4 linked regions of the Rattus norvegicus genome follow. Each later gene encodes a partner of the first gene's protein in a complex. Links are inferred from orthologs where the notes say so. Each region holds a gene or a part of one and is shown on either strand. Other genes may lie near its edges.

Evidence for each region.
Region 2: Gtf2f2 (region 1) and Gtf2a1 share a complex: the UniProt entries of both Homo sapiens proteins name them as parts of the TBP-based Pol II pre-initiation complex. The link is inferred for Rattus norvegicus from reciprocal best matches to the Homo sapiens genes GTF2F2 and GTF2A1.
Region 3: Gtf2f2 (region 1) and Polr2k share a complex: the UniProt entries of both Homo sapiens proteins name them as parts of the TBP-based Pol II pre-initiation complex. The link is inferred for Rattus norvegicus from reciprocal best matches to the Homo sapiens genes GTF2F2 and POLR2K.
Region 4: Gtf2f2 (region 1) and Gtf2h4 share a complex: the UniProt entries of both Homo sapiens proteins name them as parts of the TBP-based Pol II pre-initiation complex. The link is inferred for Rattus norvegicus from reciprocal best matches to the Homo sapiens genes GTF2F2 and GTF2H4.

What each region holds. Positions count from the first base shown.
Region 1 is NC_086033.1:57,733,148-57,738,287, forward strand, and holds the start of Gtf2f2 (general transcription factor IIF subunit 2), read right to left. Parts: upstream 3,331-5,140; 5' UTR 3,219-3,330; coding exon 3,153-3,218; intron 190-3,152; coding exon 116-189; intron 1-115. UniProt on the Homo sapiens protein: TFIIF is a general transcription initiation factor that binds to RNA polymerase II and helps to recruit it to the initiation complex in collaboration with TFIIB.
Region 2 is NC_086024.1:116,234,455-116,239,033, forward strand, and holds part of Gtf2a1 (transcription initiation factor IIA subunit 1), read right to left. Parts: intron 3,552-4,579; coding exon 3,347-3,551; intron 1,767-3,346; exon of another isoform or gene 1,624-1,766; intron 840-1,623; coding exon 772-839; intron 1-771. UniProt on the Homo sapiens protein: TFIIA is a component of the transcription machinery of RNA polymerase II and plays an important role in transcriptional activation. TFIIA in a complex with TBP mediates transcriptional activity.
Region 3 is NC_086025.1:69,239,339-69,244,558, reverse strand, and holds the start of Polr2k (DNA-directed RNA polymerases I, II, and III subunit RPABC4), read right to left. Parts: upstream 3,327-5,220; 5' UTR 3,244-3,326; intron 2,540-3,243; 5' UTR 2,531-2,539; coding exon 2,470-2,530; intron 2,133-2,469; coding exon 2,040-2,132; intron 238-2,039; coding exon 215-237; 3' UTR 1-214. UniProt on the Homo sapiens protein: DNA-dependent RNA polymerase catalyzes the transcription of DNA into RNA using the four ribonucleoside triphosphates as substrates.
Region 4 is NC_086038.1:3,074,573-3,079,681, reverse strand, and holds the start of Gtf2h4 (general transcription factor IIH subunit 4), read right to left. Parts: upstream 3,573-5,109; 5' UTR 3,405-3,572; exon of another isoform or gene 2,659-3,404; 5' UTR 2,656-2,658; coding exon 2,516-2,655; exon of another isoform or gene 2,170-2,515; coding exon 2,065-2,169; exon of another isoform or gene 1,720-2,064; intron 1,607-1,719; exon of another isoform or gene 1,489-1,606; coding exon 1,357-1,488; exon of another isoform or gene 1,331-1,356; intron 1,215-1,330; exon of another isoform or gene 1,144-1,214; intron 1,094-1,143; coding exon 997-1,093; intron 908-996; coding exon 819-907; intron 636-818; coding exon 524-635; intron 401-523; coding exon 332-400; intron 174-331; coding exon 90-173; intron 1-89. UniProt on the Homo sapiens protein: Component of the general transcription and DNA repair factor IIH (TFIIH) core complex, which is involved in general and transcription-coupled nucleotide excision repair (NER) of damaged DNA and, when complexed to CAK, in RNA transcription by RNA polymerase II.

The sequences.
Region 1 (5,140 bases):
ATTATAAACATTTTCAAACACAACAGCTTTTAAAAACTTATAGTATATGTGCTATACATATATACTATATGTATATATTATATATAATATTTATATACGTATATAAATAACTTACTTGGCAATCCTCAGTTTCCCAACTTCACCTCTTCCAGGGGCTTTTGCCCATTGCTGGGACAAATATTTAGGAACCTAAAATAAAGCAAAACATTTCAGAGATGATATACCCAGGAATTATATACCTTCCTTGAGGTTATACAATTAGTAAATGATAGAACAGGATTCAAGGTCAAGGCACCTCAAGGGACTTTGTTCTTAACCATAAAAATACTGTGTCTAAAACCCAGATACAGAAGTAAGCAAGGGATAAATTCTAAGAAGAAAAAATACATTAATTCTACTAAGTAATCTGCCTCTGTTCTTCACAGTCCTTTAGATCTTGAAATCAGTATCTACCTTTCAGCTATTCTGTTATGAGAAGCAAAGAGATTTAATAAAGCACGAAGCATATGTGTTGTGGGGCATAAGTATTCATTGAGTGCCAGTTGTCTCATAGTAATCTCAGAATAATAACATGATCACAATGAATACAGGACTGAGACACAGCTGTTGGGGCTGCAAAGGGGAAACAAGATTATGGGGGCTGGGGGAGTGGGGCAGTACCTTGACTACAGTTATGGTTTTAAAAAAGGAGTAAGAAAGACTGGTTGTTATGTATTCGATTCTGTGTAAGTTCATCATATTAACTTACTGGACTACCAAAGGGTGTCAGATGATATGCCGGAGGCTGGAAAAGAGGAAGGCTGAGGAGACAATTCTGTCAGACACCTTGTAGACATCGGAAATTCATCCCCTCAATCTCTTTTCAAACTCAAATGTACTCTCCCCCGTCTACAGATATGAAAACTGAACCCAGGGATACTGATACGACTCAGAAATAAAGCTAGGTGAGATTGTGGGCAGCGTATCTCAAAATAGCGTGTGAAATTTTTAATGGTTTGAATATTTAAGTTTGATGGGAGCTGGAAAAACGGCCCAGCATTAAAAGTACTGGCTGCTCTTCCAGAGGACCTAGGTTTGACTCCCAGCACCCACATGGCAGTTCATAACCAGCTATAACGGTAGTACCAGGAGATCCAATGCCCTCTTCTGGCTTCTGGGTCTTACTACATTCCCCTGACTCACAAATGTAGACCAGGCTAACCTCTCAAGCACTCAGATTAAAGGTGTGCAGCACCACAGGAGCACCTACTTGATAGCTCTGCTTTATTTATCTAACATAAATACGCAAGAAGCACAGATGCTCTAAACGCACAGAGGTGGAGGATTACCATGAGTTTAAGGCCAGCCTGGGTTACACAGTGAGTTCCAGGCCAGCCTGAACTACAGAAAGGAAGAGAATGAGAAAGGGAAAGATGAAAAGACAGGGAGAGAAGGGAAGGGAGAGGAAAGGAAGAGAGTAGGTTTTCTTTTCTCCTGTTACTTACAACCCTCTGCTGTATTATTTGTATTAATCAGACTTTAGTCACTGTGACCAAATATCTGACAGAAACAATTAAAGATTTATTTTGCACTGGGTATCTTAGTCTCTATCTGTGGAAAAGCGAGGAGGAGCACTGCAAGCTCACATCGCAATGGCCACGATATAGAGAAGATATAGACAGGGCCAGGGCAGCCCTAAGAACATACCGCCAGTATCTACCTCTTCCAACTAGGCCCTCACCTCACCACCTTTCACTACTTCCCAGAGACGCCATATTACAAATCCACCTAAGGAGTAACTAATCCCTTAATTAGATCATAGCCCTCATGACCTACTTTGCCTCCAGAAAACAGCACCACAAACACACCCAAAGGTGTGCTTCACTAACTGCATAAGCTCTTAATCTGATGAAACTGAGAAGACTAACCCCCACCCACTTTAGTTTTGTGTCTCTCTGATATACAGCCTTTTCAATTTCTTATATTCATCACACACTGGGAAAGTAATATGTGCCAAACACTAATCAAAGTGCAAAGAAAGTGACTTGGAGGTGGAGGCAATCAACACTGGGTACAGGTACAAAGAATCACCAGAAACTGTTAAATGGTTTGAAAAACTTAACATGGTCTGCAGAACTGGCAAACGGGAGCTGTTCAGAGTAATGGACAGGAAAAGACACCTTGTCTTGATGAGAACTCAGCCATGTGCTTAAAACATTGACACTCACTATAAAGATAAATCATTGATAAACCAACTTTGGGAAACGTTGATGATCCCATTTAAATACGGCTTTTTAAAACGAGATTTCCCACAGAGTAATAGTCCCCCAGTCCATATAAAAAATGTAACCCAAATAGATGGTGACCACTGGGGCAAACAAAGCCTGGCACGTGTCCGTTTAAAACATTTACTGATGGTTAAGTTTCATGAAACCTAAACTCGCTCTTTAAAAACACTAAGTCAACAAACTTCTCTTTGAATTCGGAACTTCCAGGTCTTTCGAAAACTCCAATTGGATTACCAACTCAGGGAACACTTTACCAGTGGAAAACTCCAATTGGATTACCAACTCAGGGAACACTTTACCAGTGTAAAGCGACAGAAGTCTTCCAGACCAGCAGAGAGAGAGAGAGAGACAGAGACAGAGACAGAGACAGAGACAGAGACAGAGAGAAAGAGAGAAGAGAAGAGAAGAGAAGAGAAGAGAAGAGAAGAGAAGAGAGAGAGAGAGAGAGAGAGAGAGAGAGAGAGAGAGAGAGAGAGATTCTGTTTCAAAACAAAACAGCAAAAGTTCACAGGGACCAGTTCCACTTTGTGGTCCAGAAAACTGTGTATCTACTCACCTAATTTATACACATTCATGACTAAAGTTAACCTTACCAAAACAAAGACAAAAAACAAACAAACAAACAAACCCGCAAGGGCTTTTCCGGCATGGGGTAAAATTTACTGCTTTCTCGGGAACATCAGGAAGGCCAGGTCTTGGCGGTAAACAGAGTTCTATGGTGGGCGGATGAAATTGACAGACAGACTGAAAGATGCCCTGTGGCCCCTAAAGTAAGTTCTCCAACCTGCAAACAGGCGCAACAGCGACCCGCTTCTCAGAACAGCGGTGGCCCGGGAAAGACAGACCCAGAACTTTCGGAAGCGCCCCGTGGGGCTCGCGTCTCACCTTCACCAGCCACACGCCGGTGTTCTGTTTGGCGCCCGTCAGATCGAGTTCCCCGCGCTCCGCCATAAGTTTGTCGTGTGAGGCGGCGTGCGCGCACAAGCAGCGACCCGGGACTGAACGTCAGAGAGCGATAGACAGTCCAGAGCCGGACGCTGGGACAAGTAGACCGCGAAAAGCCGGAGTGGCTCACCGGCCGGGAACTAGAAACTTAAGACGAGAGGAACACGCCGCTGAATGAAGAAGTGCGCCTGCGCACGGTACGTCCGGACAGCGTCCCGCGAGGGACAAATTTCCTGCTTCCGCAATTTCTCAGGTGGGTGTGACTCCTGCCAACATGCAAACCTGAGACCCAAGTGCAGAAAGGAAAAACCAAATCCTGAGTAGTGCATTTAAAGAAAAGGTGCCAAAAATGGGGGAAAAAAGGTTAAGACAGACAAAAACTGTATGTATTCATACCCAACCCTAGCTGAAGAGGCTAGGCATTTAAAGGACAGACTTAGGGGTAAAAGTCACTTTCTTGGCCCAATGTCATTGGCACAAGTGGGCACTAAGGTACAAGTGAGTATGCTGGACACATGCCTTTTCGAGACTTAAAAATAAGTTCACACGGTGCAAGAAGAATACACTCTTTCAGACGCCAAAGCCCAAATGCCATCTATTTGGGTCAGTAAGACCCACCACGCAAGAAATAAATCTGATTATTTAACTGCCCTGCTTAAACAGTTTCCTGTTGCAGGATATTTAATCACACTATGAACTCTGAGATTGTGAACTGGAAGAATCTGCTAATAACTGTGGCTCAGCCTTTGATCCCAGAACTTTCTGTTTACTGTAAACAAGTATTTGTGGCCTGGAACAGTATTGGTGCGCACACCTCGGTCCCAGAGCTAAATAAAGTCAACCCTAGATCAAGAGGCAGAGCAAGTAACCAACTGACAGAGAGTGAACATAAGCAAGAGAAAGGAGGCACTTTGAGTTGAAGGGTGTTGGAGAGTGCATGGAGAGCTGGTAGAGTAGGAAGGTCAGCTGGGTGCTTTCTCTGCCTCTCTGAGCTTGCCAGCTTTCATCACAGCTTCTGCCTCCTGAGTCTTCATTTGGTAATTTCCTCTGGCACTTGCCTTTGGAATGAAATTCTACCCTGTGTTTTACTGGGTCCTCTCAGTTTGATCCTCCTATTCTCACAATTCCACACAGGATTCCACACCAATCCCATCCACCTACATGAAGACTCCAGGCCCTTCCTCCTACCATTTCACTACCTCTTTGAAACCAACACCTGTGCCTTAGATACTCCCCCCGCCCCGTCCTTTTCTGGCCCTATCATTTGGCAAACGTCTACTTATAAACAAAGACAAGTAGAAAAGAAACAAAGACTACCAGGAAGAGAGACCCCCAGAGAGAGTTCTGTTTCTCCACACCACATTGTGTGATACTTAACACCGTACCATGAAAGGCATGGATACCGTTGTCTTCTACACTACTCGCTGAACTCCTAGACAGAAATACTGCTTGTGCCCCAGATTTACTGAAGCAGAATGGATGAATGCAAAATAATGCTTTATTCATTTTATAGGCACAACATCCAGCATAGTGTTTGACATACTGTGGAATGTCAGTGGGCTTTGCTTGAATGAACTTTGCTGAAGAGAAACAAACAGTAAGGTATTGCAAGAATGGCAAGTAATTTATTGACTCACACACCAGAGCTATGCACAAAACTGCAGAGAGTCTGTATCTGGGCAGCATAAGGGACGGGGAAAACTGTCAGGTCTCTGAGATCCGCTAAACTAATATGATAGCCAAGAGCAGACACTCATTGGCAAGAAAAGTTCCATTCTCTTATAACAGCTTGGAAACAGGCCTAACATATTAAAAGGCGAGCACATGAGAACTGCTCTGGTCTTGGTTCAAGTAGAAAGAATAAAATAAAATAGGGACTGTGTGAGAAGGAAAGCAAAGGAGACTGGCACACCCCAGGGATGGCTTTA
Region 2 (4,579 bases), on another chromosome or scaffold:
TAAGAAAATAAGTGTATATGCTTTAGAGAAACTAACGAAAGCAATAAAAATGACTTTTGTGCAGTTCAGGAGCAAAAGGTGGTTGAGATCATTTACTTCTCAAACATATACCGACACTGGCACTTCTGTGTCAGGAGGTCAGCTAAACGTAAGTACAGGAATGCTAGGTTTATAAACATTGAAAATTAACTGTTTTGGACTATTCAAGATAGCTATTTCTTTTTTTAAAAAATTACTAGTTATTTGAGAAATATATGCTATACATCTTAATCATGCCACCCCTACCCCAACTCTTCCCAGATGTACCCCTTCTTGCACCCCTTCTTTTCTACCCACTAACCCCAGCTTGGACCTTGTTTCTTTTTGAACCATTAAATCTCGTGCTAACCATGTACATTTGAGTATGTTGTCAGCTACTGAAGCTTTCAAGGAAGCTACTTCCTTTTATGTTTTGTACTGTTTTGTTTTTCTGAGACAGGGTTCAGACCAGGCTGGCCTCAAACAGAGATCTGCAGATGTACAAGCTTGGCTGGCTCCTTACAGCTATGAACTAACCCCCACAAAGAGTATCTTGGTATTTTCTTAAGAAGAAAATTACATTATTTTACAAACCTTAATGTCTAAGATTAAACTACACTTTAGATTTGTCATTAACAGCTATTTTGCTGAAATCTTCCATAAACCTCAAGTTGTTAAATTATACCCAAAGAAATAACTGTCATTTTAGATGAAATAAATAAAGCCGATGAAAGTGCCATGTTCAAGTCTCACCGTAATACTTGATGCATTCATATGTTGTATCAACTTAGAATCAGGAACAATAACTTGTGGTGCTGTAGCTACAAAAATAGAAGAAAAAAAAGAATAAAAGGTCCATTTACAAACAAGGGTACAGAGCTGCAGGAATGTTATAAAATGTCAAAACCTTTTTCATGATTTTGTTACATTTCCTACTTGAAAATACTCTCAAAGTATTTGCTATTTTAGACTTTTAAAAAATTTTCTATGGAAATCAACAGCTAGAATACATTTATTTTATATTGAAAAATATTAATAAAATGACAATACCTTAGCCAGCATTGCAGTGCATGCCTTTAACACCAGCACTCAGGAAACAGAGGCAGATAGAACTCTGAGTTCAAGGCCAGCCAGGTCGACATAGTAAAGCAGTGTTCTAAAAACAAACGAAAACCCTACAACCTTTTCTAGCAACCTGACTGCTACCACAGTCAAGGCATTTTAATTAACTATTTGAAAAATACAAGTCAGTGGGTAAAAATGCTTGCTATACAAGCAGGAGGACCTGCTTTGAATCTCCAGAACACACATAAAAGCCATAATAGCATGAGCACCCTAATACCACTGTTGTATGGAGCTACCAGGAGGGTGGGCCAGAGACAGAAGAGCGCTAAGCTTGAGGGGAGCTTGAGGGTGGGTAGCCTAGTGCATACAGCAGAAAACACACAGATGCTGTCTCAGACCAAGTGGAAAGCAAGGATCAACACCTAAAGTTGTATTCTGACTTCCATACATGCACCACAGTACATGAGCACCTACATCTGCATGTGCGCACAACATCACACACACAAGGAACAATGGCAATGTTAATTAAAAAGCGGAAGTAATTGTTTGACCCCGCAAATTTCAGAGAATACACAGATAATCCCATTATCTTGATATTCTCTGAGTGAAAAAAATCAATTTTAATTTATGATGACCTAAAATCCTAGTGCCATGCCTATAGGCAATAGGAGGAACAGTCATCAAAGATGAAAAGGATGTCTACTTTATGGTATAGACTTAATATAGGCATGAAGAGCTGGTGAGATGGTTCAGTAGGCAAAGGTAGTTGCCACCAAGCCACGGACTATCGCTCCTACACACACACACACACACACACACACACACACACACACACACACAATATACAAAACTTTAAAAAAAAAAAAGATCCTCAGAATCTATTAGCTGTAAATGGTAAACCAAATTGTATAGGTTTTCTGCTCCATGTAACTATTCCCTGTGCATTTCACATACTCACAGAAGAAGCAAATGAGTCACGGACAGTCACCACCTTAAACTACGCTTTCATTCACCTGAAGTTTCCTTGCCAGTCAAGTTCATCTAACTATAAGATTCAGGAAATGTTGTAACTCAATAGATTTTTGTCATATTAAAAAAAAACTATGTATGGCGGAGATCCTTTTTATGTACTGAGATCCTTTTTTGTTTTTGGGGTTTTTTGAGACAAGTTTTCTCCATGTAGCCCTAGCTGTCCCGGATATTATTCTGTAGTCCAGGCTGGCCTTGAAATCAGAGATCTGCCTGCCTCTTCCTCCTGAGTGCTGAATTGAATGGTATGGCAGATTCTTAATCTTTCCAGATTTTCTTCAACTGTGAGATTGAGCTAATAGCTATTCTGCAAACACCCCAATAAAAGTTAACAGAACAGGACCTATAACATGATTTGACTTTTGCAAACTATGGCAGAGTCAATAAATGACTTTTTTCTTTCTTTAAATCAAGCATTAAAAGGTGGACTAAATTTTCAGACTACCAAAGTTACAAAATTTCTTCAGTATTGAAGATACAAGAACAAAACAAAACAAACATGTCTTTGAAAGAACATGTTTCATAAAGAAAAACTACCTTATATTAAATGATGAATCCCTTTATAAATAAGTCTGTATAGGTGGGGATCCCCATTTTCTTTTTTTCTTATACAATATATACAAAGTGTGGAATATGGATCCTTACCTCCAACCTATGTGGCACAAGGTTTCTTTGTAATGTTTCTGATATATTTAACAGATTCGCTGGCTCAAAACCTTCTGGGACTCTGTCTATACTACCTATCTCCCCACAGGGGTCTTCTGCCTTTATGCTCTTGGGACTCCAAGTCTCTCTACCTGGTCCCTAGCTCAGCTCATTCACATATTGTAGCTCCCCTCCCAGGGATGCTCTTCTTAACTTTTCCCTTTGTTATTTTGTTTTGCTGGTTTGGAGGCAAAGTCTCAAGTAGTCAAAGCTGGTTCCAACTCACTCTCTACAGAAATAACTAAAGATGACCTTAATATCTCACCCTGCGTCTTCCTGAATGCTAGCATTATAGACGTGCTCCACAATACCCAGCTTATGCAGTGGTGGGTTCATGTATGAACCCAGGGCTTCATATATGCTAGGCGAGCACTCTACCAGCCAACAGAGAAGAAAAAGATCACATAGATCACCCGATCCCAGCGTCTATTTAAAAAAGATGATGGATCCATGAAATTCAAGTCAAAGGAATACTTTTGAAAAACAAGTGCAATTTGCTAGCCACGACAGGGAGCTCTAGCCTCCTCACCTTGCTGTGACGCAGGAATAAGAACCTGCTGGGTCTGTGCTTGCTGAGGTACCGTTTGCTGAGGTTGCGCCTGCTGGTGGTGGTGGTGGTGGTGATGCTGCTGCTGCTGGGGCTGGTGCTGCTGCTGAACTTGCAACAAAAGCTGCTGTTCTTCTGAATGAAATCCATCTACTGCCCTAGACTGCATTAGTTTATTCTCCCACAACTAAGACAAAGAACAATAAAGACTTCTCAGTGACTTCAAGAAAACTCTGGATATATAGGCAAAACATTAATTTATTACGTGTTTGTAAATTTCTTCCATTCTAAGAAATAATACAATCCCACACACACACACATGAATTAACCTTTCTTACCCAAGTTTTATATAAGGAAAATAAACCTTAATCAGACCTCATGTTTATTATGCTGAAGAAATTTTTTTTACATTCCAAGAAACTTTCTAGAGTAATTCCTCACCTCAGTTGTCAGGTATTGTTAACAGAGTTCCCAGAGTCAATCCCTGAATAATCACAGCTTATCTTTTTACTTTTTATTTCAAAATCATTACGTAATTGCTTTTATGGAACTTTGCTCAATACAAATTTCCTATCTCTTCAATAGGAGTCAACATGAGAACTATTCACCCATTTGTCCTTAATGAGAATAATGAGAAATAAAGGCATTCTAAATTAAGACAGGTCAACTTCCTTCTGTTTGTCTAACCTTGATGTTAAAGAAAGTGATGCTGAAATGGTCATCCCAATCCTCTCTCTACACCTCCTGAAATGTCCTTTCTCCCAATATGGACGACTGACATTCACTTTCTGCTTAGTCACTTCTATAGGTTGAACATATTTAGTCTAAAAACTCAAAATCTGCAATGTTCTAAAATCTGTACCTTTTTGACTCCTGACAGGATGTCACTACAGGAAAATTCTACCTGATGAAACTTTACTTTATGTACAAAAACCATTAAAATACTATGCAAAATTAACTTCTAACAATGTATAAAAAGGTGTATGTGAAACATAAGAGAACTTTTACTGCTTATTATATGCAAGTATTTCAAAGTCTGAAAAAAATGCAGAAAGACAACATTCCTGGGTTGCTGATTCCTTTCAGGTTAGGGATACCCAATTTGTACTTTCTTATTTCACCACACGGTAAATTCATAATGGGAGGAAAGGGGAGGAAGAACCACCCAAAAGAAAGGAAATGAAAACATTCCCATAACATATTTGCTTTCTCCTA
Region 3 (5,220 bases), on another chromosome or scaffold:
ATCTTCACTGTATGAGGAATTACAAGGACAATAAATTAAGTCATATGTTGACCCGAAATTTCCTTTATACAGAGTATTAAAATACAATTGGCATTTCTAAAATGAAATCATAGGTACACAGTTGTAGTCATTAAGTAAGCTAAGTTAAATGCTATACATTAAAGAGAAACATCAACGAGGCAAATGTATGAAGACATTCCTCAACTCCACTGTTTCATCGAGCATCAAAAACCACCACTGTTGAATTGAGTTAAGGATTTTAAACAGTACTTAAAATTGTGTAAGACTAAGGCTTCCAAGTTACCCCCTGCACCAAGCTTGCAATTGAATATAAAATGAACAAAAGAATGAAGTTCACTATAATCAGAGATTATCTAAAAAAATAAAGTACACTACTGCCATGTTCAGTAGCTTACTTTTTTGGATACAAGATAATATAAATTAATAATGTAACATATATTAATATAAGTAGTATTAAAAATAAACACAAATTAAAAAAACTCACTGAAACAATTGATGACTTTTAAGAGTTTGTGTCCGTTACCATGAAACAATTTGTAGGCCTCACTATTTTCCACTGTTATTAATCTCTTCTTCCGTACTTTATATTGTTCATAAACTAATAACCAACAATGACTATTACTAAAAACAAAGATTTCCTGAAAAGTAAAAAAGACTTATCAACTAGTTTTTATATTACTGAAAGCCCATAATGAATGGTACATGAAAATGCTAATCACATTTACTTTATATAAAAACCTCTGCCAGGCCTTGGGAGTACATGTCTTTAATCCCGGATTTGGGGGGTAGAGGTGGTGGGCGGGGATAGGTGGATCTCTGAGTTTGAGGCCTGTCTTAGTCAGGGTTTCTGTTCCTGCACAAACATCATGACACAAAGCAGGTTGGGGAGGAAAGAGTTTATCCAGCTTACACAGTCACATTGCTGTTTCATCACCAAAGGAAGTCAGGACTGGAACTCGAGCAGGTCAGGAAGCAGGAGCTGATGCAGAGGCCATGGAGGGATGTTACTTACTGGCTTGCCTCCCGTGGCTTGCTCAGCTGGTTTTCTTATAGAACCCCAGGACCACCAGCCCAGGGATGGCACTACCCACAATGGGCTTGGTCCTCCCTCCTTGATCACTAGTTGAGAAGATGCCTTACAGCTGGGTCTCCCGAAGGCATTTCCACAACTGAGGCTCCTTTTCTGTGATAACTCCAGCCTGTGTCAAGTTGGCCTTCAAAACTAGCCAGTATAAGGCCACAGAGGTTTAGGAAGGCCAGTGATAACCTTAATAAATGAATTAAAAATGTATTTACTGGGTTTTAAAATTTGTTTTATTCAGGTTTATTTTATGCACAAGTGCTTTTGCCTGTATGCATGTATGTACCATTTGGGTCCCGCGCACTGGTAGGTCAGAGGTCGGCCTATCCGACCACCTGTGATTGTGAGCAATCATGTTGGTTCTAAGGCCCTCTGAAAAAGCAGCAATGCTCCTGCCTGCAGATCCAGCTCTCAGGCCCCTAGTTGGTCCTTTGAGACTGGGTCTCACTAAGTAGCTTTAGCTGGCCTGGAATCCTAAGTGTAGACCAGACTGGCCTGGAATTCACAAGGAGCTGCCTGTCTCTACCCCACAAGTTTTGGGAAAAATAAATCCTATTAAAATAATTAATCTGGGTATACCTCCTGTGGAGGCTCCACTCTTTCAGTTCTCAATAAGTCCACATGCACTCTGCTTAAAAAATAATCCAAAAGTTATTACTACTTTGATCAGATCTTAGTCTTTTTTTTTTTAAAGATTTATTTATTTCATGTATGTGAGTACACTGTCACTGTCTTCAGACACACCAGAAGGAATCAAATCCCATTACTAGGTGGTTGAGCCACCATGTGGTTGCTGGGACTTGAACTCAGGACCTCTGTAAGAGTGGTCAGTGCTCTTAACCACTGAGCCATCTCTCCAGCCCCAGATCTTAGTCTTTATCAACCCAAGTATTAGTTACTTCCTCTTCACATTTAAAAAGTATACTTAAAAGGATACATCTCTTAGTCCTTTTCTTGTACATTATTCTGTATCCACATTCTCTGCATCTGATTGGATCCCTGGATTTTATTTCATTTTCGGTGTGACACTCTGGGAAAGAAAGCACATTTATTCAAAGCCTGAAAGAGAAACACTCCAGGGAAGCAAACAGTAACAACATATTAAAAACAGGAGGAAACCAGGGCACCAAAACATCCAAGTACATTCTTATTACTGAACAGACCAAGGAGAAAGAAGAGCTGTAGGCAGTACACCTTTTCCAGATAAAAGGAAGAAATCTTAATAAGGTAGAGGGATTTTAAAATTAACAATCGCTAAAGTGCTCCACGTTATAATTTTAAAGATTTGTACTCATGTATGGAAGGATTCTTTTTAATGGGAGGGGGGGGCGTTCCTAAGTAAAGCATTATTTAAATGTTAATCTTACCTCCACAAATATATATCATTGGCTGCTGCTTTGGTGGTTGAACATCTTTCTGGGTGTCCATTGTTCGTGCCTGAAATGAGAGCCAAAGACTGAGTAACAGGGCCTTCGCACAAAACATGCCCCATTTGATTTATCTTTTTCTCAGAAGCTATACGAGGTTCTGATTTTCCGACCAAAGAGGAAAACCTCAGTAGAATGTTTGCCTAGTGTGCAGAAGCCCAAGAATCAATACCCAATATTACGGATGGGGAAATTAAAAAAAAAAAAAAAGTAATTATCTACTTCCCCTAAACAGTGATGTGGGCTGGGTCTGAAGGATACAGCACATTTTCAACAATAGTAAATACATTATGAATGTTTATTACTCTTCAGGATCCTAGAGGGTATTACACACGAAGAAACGGAGGCTAAGGACATGTTGGTTTGTCCAGTATCACTCCGCAAAGGAATTCCGATTTGAGCTGGGAGCAGTAGCTCCGTCAAAGCTTGTCTCAACATTAACTCCACCGGGGATCTTTATTTTCGCATTTGGTTCTTTAAGAAGGCTTTGAGAGTCTTCACTTTGTAATTCAGGTTAGCCGAGAACTCACTTTGTAGCCTTAGATTGAAAGTCAAGGTGCTTGTTGATGGCAGAATTCTCCTACCTCTGCTTCCCAAGCGCTCAGATGGCAGGCGTGTGCTACCGCTCTCGGTCGTCCAGGGATATTTTAAAGCCAGGTGTCTCTCCTAGTTTTGCCTCCAATTTACCTCCCAAATCACCCGCCGATCCCTTACCTCCGCAGCTCCGGAAAGCGTCCCTCCTCTGTGCACGCAAACGCTTTCTCCGGCTCTTAGAAGCAAGAGACACTACCGGCGCTGCTTCGCCAACTTCCGGCGCTGACTTATGACGCAAAAGCCCTGTCCCTTTCTGCCTGGCAGTACCGAAGAACTAGGGCGCTTGTTGGGGACTGGTTTATAGTGTTTCTCTCCTTAATTCCTGTAGGATTTTGTTTTGATTTGCCCCTCTCTCCAGGGTAGCAAAACATTCCCACAGCTCGGCGTTCGAGAGTCTGTGCTTGTGTAACGGCAGATAGAGCAGGAAGCCAAAACAGGTGCTGCTGGAATCTTAACCCAGCCATTGCTTGGGCGAACACCAGCAGGCCACCCTACCAACACTTCACTTCCCAATATCACGGTTTTCAAATTGTTCAATACCCATGCAGGTTTTTGTTTGTTTGTTGTTTTCAAATTCCAGTTTTCTTAGTTTCTTGTCACCTCTCTTCTATTTTATGTTGGGGAATGGAATGATAGGGGAAGCCCGAGGCTTGATAGTCTATGTAGCCCAGGCTGAGCTTGCTCTTAAACCGGCGCAGTTCTCTACCTTCGCCGCCTCAATGCTGAAATTAATTGCGCAAATCACAACGCCTGCCCATCTTCCTTTTTGAAGCCAAGGTTTTCACAACTAAGGTTTTCACAAGGACAACTCCATCAATTACTTCCACTAGTTGGTGGCTTTAGCTTTTCTCGTAGTATTCTCCCTCTTGTGTTTGATCAATTCAATAGAGTACAGGTGGTATGTGTTCTCACAGATCAAACTTTTAACTCAGTAAAAATCTGTTGGGTTCAGGACGTTTACACTCAATTATTTCACACCATTTATTTTAAAAATAGAGTGGACAAACTAATAGAAGAAAAACTAGGGAAGCATCTGGAACACATGGGCACTGGAAAAAATTTCCTGAACAAAACACCAATGGCTTATGCTCTAAGATCAAGAATCGACAAATGGGATCTCATAAAACTGCAAAGCTTCTGTAAGGCAAAGGACACTGTGGTTAGGACAAAACGGCAACCAACAGATTGGGAAAAGATCTTTACCAATCCTACAACAGATAGAGGCCTTATATCCAAAATATACAAAGAACTCAAGAAGTTAGACTGCAGGGAAACAAATAACCCTATTTAAAAATGGGGTTCAGAGCTAAACAAAGAATTCACAGCTGAGGAATGCCGAATGGTTGAGAAACACCTAAAGAAATGTTCAACATCTTTAGTCATAAGGGAAATGCAAATCAAAACAACCCTGAGATTTCACCTCACACCAGTGAGAATGGCTAAGATCAAAAACTCAGGTGACAGCAGATGCTGGCGAGGATGTGGAGAAAGAGGAACACTCCTCCATTGTTGGTGGGATTGCAGACTGGTAAAACCATTCTGGAAATCAGTCTGGAGGTTCCTCAGAAAATTGGACATTGAACTGCCTGAGGATCCAGCTATACCTCTCTTGGGCATATACCCAAAAGATGCCTCAACATATAAAAGAGACACGTGCTCCACTATGTTCATCGCAGCCTTATTTATAATAGCCAGAAAATGGAAAGAATCCAGATGCCCTTCAACAGAGGAATGGATACAGAAAATGTGGTACATCTACACAATGGAATATTACTCAGCTATCAAAAACAACGAGTTTATGAAATTCGTAGGCAAATGGTTGGAACTGGAAAATATCATCCTGAGTGAGCTAACCCAATCACAGAAAGACATACATGGTATGCACTCATTGATAAGTGGCTATTAGCCCAAATGCTTGAATTACCCTAGATCCCTAGAACAAACGAAACTCAAGACGGATGATCAAAATGTGAATGCTTCACTCCTTCTTTAAATGAGGAAAAAGAATACCCTTGGCAGGGAAGGGAGAGGCAAAGATTAAAACAGAGACTGAAGGAACACCCATTCAGAGCCTGCCCCACATGTGGCCCATACATA
Region 4 (5,109 bases), on another chromosome or scaffold:
AATGACCCAAGCACTCAGTCCTAGCTAGGTCTTTTGGCTGCACCCCAAACACCCTACTGTCCTAGAGGCCTACAGCTGGGTGTACATACCTTCCTCTGGAAAACAAGCCCGAATTCACGCAGGTGTTGCAGGAAGTTCAACAAAGAATCACTCATCCCCTCCACGGAGTAGTCCTGGTGAAGAGATGGCCATCGGGGGCTATGACACACCCACGGTCACTACCCAGCCTGTCTCCTCCTCCTCTTGCCTTCTCGGGTGGTTCTGTGGTTATTACCATCTTCCGCCATAACCTCTCCTTACCTCCCTGTCCCCCAGCTCGCTCCCTACTTACCTTGCCAAGAGTAGAGAAACTGAGCTGGAAAAGGAAGGAGAGAATCTCCACTAGATCCATGCCCCGACTCTGAGAAGGAAACGGCAGAGAGACAGGACATGAGACAGAAAGAGGGAGTTAAGGAGCACCGTAGGCTGGTAGTTACTCAGGGACCTGAGCAGAGTGAGCAGCGTCCTAGGCCCTGGCTCTTACCTGGGCTGTCTGCAGATACTGCAGCATGAAGTACCAGAGCTGGGCAGGCGTGTCTAGGAGCAGGAACTGGAAGCCAGCGGAAGTGATACACGGTGGCTCTCCGGGTTCGGTGCTAGTGACAGAGAGAGCTGATGGTAGCAGCTTGCAAAGGGCTACACCTAGTCTGCTTACACCAACTTAGGCCTCTCCTCTCAGCCAACTCTCTCCACTCCCTCCTAGCCCCAGAAGATACCCACTTTATTTGAGACCCAAGGAGATGGCTGAGCAGGGAGCAGCCATGCTCTGCCCTCCTCACCTTTTCATAAGCCCGGCCTGGCTGAGGAGTTGAGCCAGGTCCTGGCTGACAGCTGCACTGGGGGAGCCCACCATGAAATGCAAGACCACCTAGAGATGAAAAGGGTCAGGAGACTGGGGTTTCTAGGGCTACTGGGAACAGGGCGCACAGCGGAGGCCCACAGAGGCCCACTCCTCACCTCCCAGCGCTCCTCGGCGTACTTATCAAGTGAGGGGACATCCCGGGCGTGCTTGTCTGGTCCCAGCTGACTTGTGTCATCAGACCAGGCCTTGCCCCTGTGGCCAGGATGAACAGGAATAAGGAGCCCTGTTTCCTGCTTCTCTAGGTCTTTTCCCTCGCCCCATGAACCATGAGAAGAGGACATTTTCTGCAGCCCACACCCACACCTGGTCCAATGTATTCTTGAAGGAGCTTCCCGAAGGGGTGGGAGTGAGGGGGAAGAGGTTCTGGGGAGGTCTCTCAAGAGCTTCTCCCCCCATCAGTGTAGTAAGCAGTTTGTTCCCCTGGCCTAGCTCAGGAAGAGAAGGGAATGACGTACCCACCCAGAAGAGCAATTCGGAGGTTCTGGCGGAAGACAGGGTTCAAGATGAGGCCCTGGAGTCCACCGGGGAGCAGCTGGGTATGCCAAATACGGAGGCCACTCAACAGCCCGGTACTTTCCTCCTGAGCCCTGGACGGAAGCAGAGTTGGGTGAGGTGTCATGAATAGAAAGGAGACCTCCAGGGAGCTCTCTCTCCCCCAATGGCAGTCCTTGGAACAGTGTTGCAGAGGGAAGCAACATGCACTGGGTGAGGCAACCTGCACTACAATGCTAAGGACAACATAGCTAGTTTTGATTGTTGTTGGTTTCTCTGTTTTGTTTTCTAAGTCAATCCCCCCTCCCCCATTTGTTTTGTTTCAGAAGGGGTCCTATGAAGCCTGGGACAGCCTCGACCTTACAATGTATCAAACTTGCAATGTAACCTTACAATCTACTGTTTCCTGTCTCTACCTCCCTACTTCGCTGGCTACTTTTTTCCTTTCTTCCTTTGGTCTTTTTGTTTGTTTTGTTCTAATTAGTATACAGCTAGAGAGATCACAACTCTGCACCATGGAAACCACTGCAAGTGTATTCTGGAGGGTTTTCCTTGTGTAGGGCAGAGTCTGTTGAAAGGCCCTAGATCTGATCCCCAGCTCCTGTGTGTGTGCACCCTGGCAGTGTTCCAAACAAAAGCAATTTGAGAAATGACGCTTGCACAGGACTCACTTGCTGAACTCCTTCTTCACCCACAGGGCCACGGCAGCCTGTGGTAGAGGCTGCTCCAGAAAGAGCATTCTCATCACCCAGTTCTTAGCCAAGGAAGGGAGCTCCCTGTAAGGTTCAGAGGCCAATGTTATCAGAAGCAACCTCACACCTGCATCTCTGCCCTTATCTGCCTGGCCCCTTGGCTAAAAGGTGTATGGTAGGACTGAACCACAATACAAGGTTTTTCTGGTTCATAACCTTGGGGTTCACAATGTGATCAAATACCCTGCAACATCTGCCTCTCAAATGTCTCACGCCATCTCCCACATCCTTACCAGTCCCGCTGCCCCCACAACCTCTGTTTTGGATTGACACACTGTCTAACACCCTGGTACTCACTGAGGTAAGCCTCTCCTCCATGATAACTAACTTCAGTCTGCAGGCCCCGTTACACTCTCCAAACGCCCCTCACCTGAAGACAGCCAGACAAGTGGCAGGGTGTCCATACAATCGGTCCAGCACCCCAGGGCTCAGGCCGCCTAAGAACTCCTGTAGATTCCTGCATTGTAGGTGTGCTCGGTTCAGTCCACCCCTCGCGGGGGTGATCTCCATCACCTGAGAGGGACAAGTGTCAGAACTCCCGCATGACCCATATCACTCCAGATCTATGACTCCAGATCTATCAGGTTCACTTTCTGTACTTTCCTGTCTGGTGCCACTCATTCCTCCCAAACCCTTCGTGTCCTGCTTCTTCATCATGCAGCTCAGGATGGCCTTGAACTTGCTATGTAGCCAAGGATGGATTTGAACCCCTGACCCATCTTTGTGACCTCGATGTCACAAGTGGCCACCAGGTTTTTCATCCCACATCTGCCTTTAAGTTCAGCCTTTTTTCAGTCTCCAGGGGGTGAGATTATTCTCATTTTGTGTATGGTCCTGAGGATCAAATCCAGATCCTCACTGGTGTGTACAAAAGTGACTGAATTACTTGTTGTGTCCTACTTGCAAAAGTGTTTTGCATTATCAATGATGTCTCTAGTTGACCTAAGCAGTGACAAAGATGCTTGTTTGAGCCTAAGCTTCTCTCTTGTCCACCCTCCTGGTCAAATCACTATAAATCTGTCAAGTACTTAGCGCTCTCATCTGGGGACACGGTTATAAACTGCCTCCACGCTTACCAACCTAAATATCTTTCTATCCCTTCCCCCCACCCCCCGAGCCAGCTTCACCCCTCTCACTGAGACACACGCTTCCGAGCTCCTCACTTCTCCCCAGCTTTCCTTTCACACCACCTCTCACTCAACTCTCTCCCTCCCTGACCCCTCTCACACCCCCTCACCACTCGGATCCCCTCCGCGCACCCCGGGTCACCAGCCGTCGCCTAATCAGAGCTAATGTCTCGCATTGACTCCTGGAAATAAAAGATGAAAATTCTAAAACGTGGGAGAACCGCGGAGAACTTCACAGACAGGACCCAGCCAAAAAGCAGCCCAAAGAGAAGGGAGCGCAGAAAAAGTGTCAAGAGTAAAGGGGATTAGAATAGGCAATGTACGCGCCTGTCGCGTGGCATACTGGGAATTGTAGTCCTCTCCTAGTCTACATTGGAGCACTGTGAGGAGGGTCTGACTACAGTTCCCGAAAGGCACCGCAAGAAGGCCGGCCGAGAGACAGTGACTTTTCATTAGGATTCCCTAGGAACACCCTAAGCCAGACCATTTGGTTCCGCGCCTCTCTCCCTTGTGAAGCTAAAGCTAATCTCAGTCAGGGCTAGACAGGAGGAGGCACCCAATCTGGAGGAGCTCCAGGGTCTCCTATCGGAGACGCGCTACAGCAGCTCAGTGGTGGTATGTTAGACTTAGAGACCTCAAAACTGGATTTCTTGACCTGTGCTGTTTTCCACAAAACTGAGATAATGCACAGTGCAGAGAGTTTTCATGAGTCGAGGATCAACACAATCGCCCTTATTTGGCTACTAAATGCTCAATCAATCAAAATGTCTGTGAGGTCAGAGTCCCCTAGAACTGGAATTACAGACAGCTGTGAGCTACCATATGGGTGCTAGAAATTGAACCCGGGCCCTTTGGAAGAACAGCCCAGTGTACTTAACTGCTGAGCCATCTCTCCACCATCCCCCAACCCGCACAATCAATCTTTTTTTTTTTTTTTTTTTTTTTTTTTGGTTCTTTTTTTCGGAGCTGGGGACCGAACCCAGGGCCTTACGCTTCCTAGGCAAGCGCTCTACCACTGAGCTAAATCCCCAACCCCTCGCACAATCAATCTTAATCTCTTCCTCCTCAGCCCTTCCAACTCCCCGGGAGTTAGAAGATTATATTACAATTTTTAAAAGAAAGCTCTCGTTTGCCCTGATCTGACTTATGAATTTATCATAGACAAGACAAGGGAAAGGAAGGAATGACAGCAACTAAGGTCATCTAGAGGTTCTCCATTTTTTTTTTTTTTCCGGAGCTGGGGACCGGAACCCAGGGCCTTGCGCTTGCTAGGCAAGCGCTCTACCACTGACCTAAATCCCCAATCCCTCTCCAATTCTTATGGGGGCAAATTCTGTTATTCTTACATCACTATCAAGCCCAACAAGAATAAGAAAACGGCACAAGGAAGTCCCAGTGCTGATGAGAAACACATTTACCAAGGGCAAAAATGGTGGGGCCATGTAAGGACTTGGTGATGCTTTATTAGGTATTTTAAAGAAAGTCGCAGGCTGCTGAGATGGCTCAGTTGGGAAAGGCCTTGCTGTGCTGTGACCTGAGCAGAGGGAAAGACAACTGACTTCCATTCCTGTGCCATGGAGCTGGGCATCCTGGCCTCTTCCTTCCGGCACTCACACACAGCAGTAATAATAAAAGTCACCTTTTTTTTTTTTTTTTGGTTCTTTTTTTCGGAGCTGGGGACCGAACCCAGGGCCTTGCGCTTCCTAGGTAAGCGCTCTACCACTGAGCTAAATCCCCAGCCCCTAAAAGTCACCTTTTAACAATGAAAGTACTCTGTCGTTGTCTTGGTTGTAAATGTTAGAATAAACCTGGAACCAGATCCTGACCAAGACCCTAT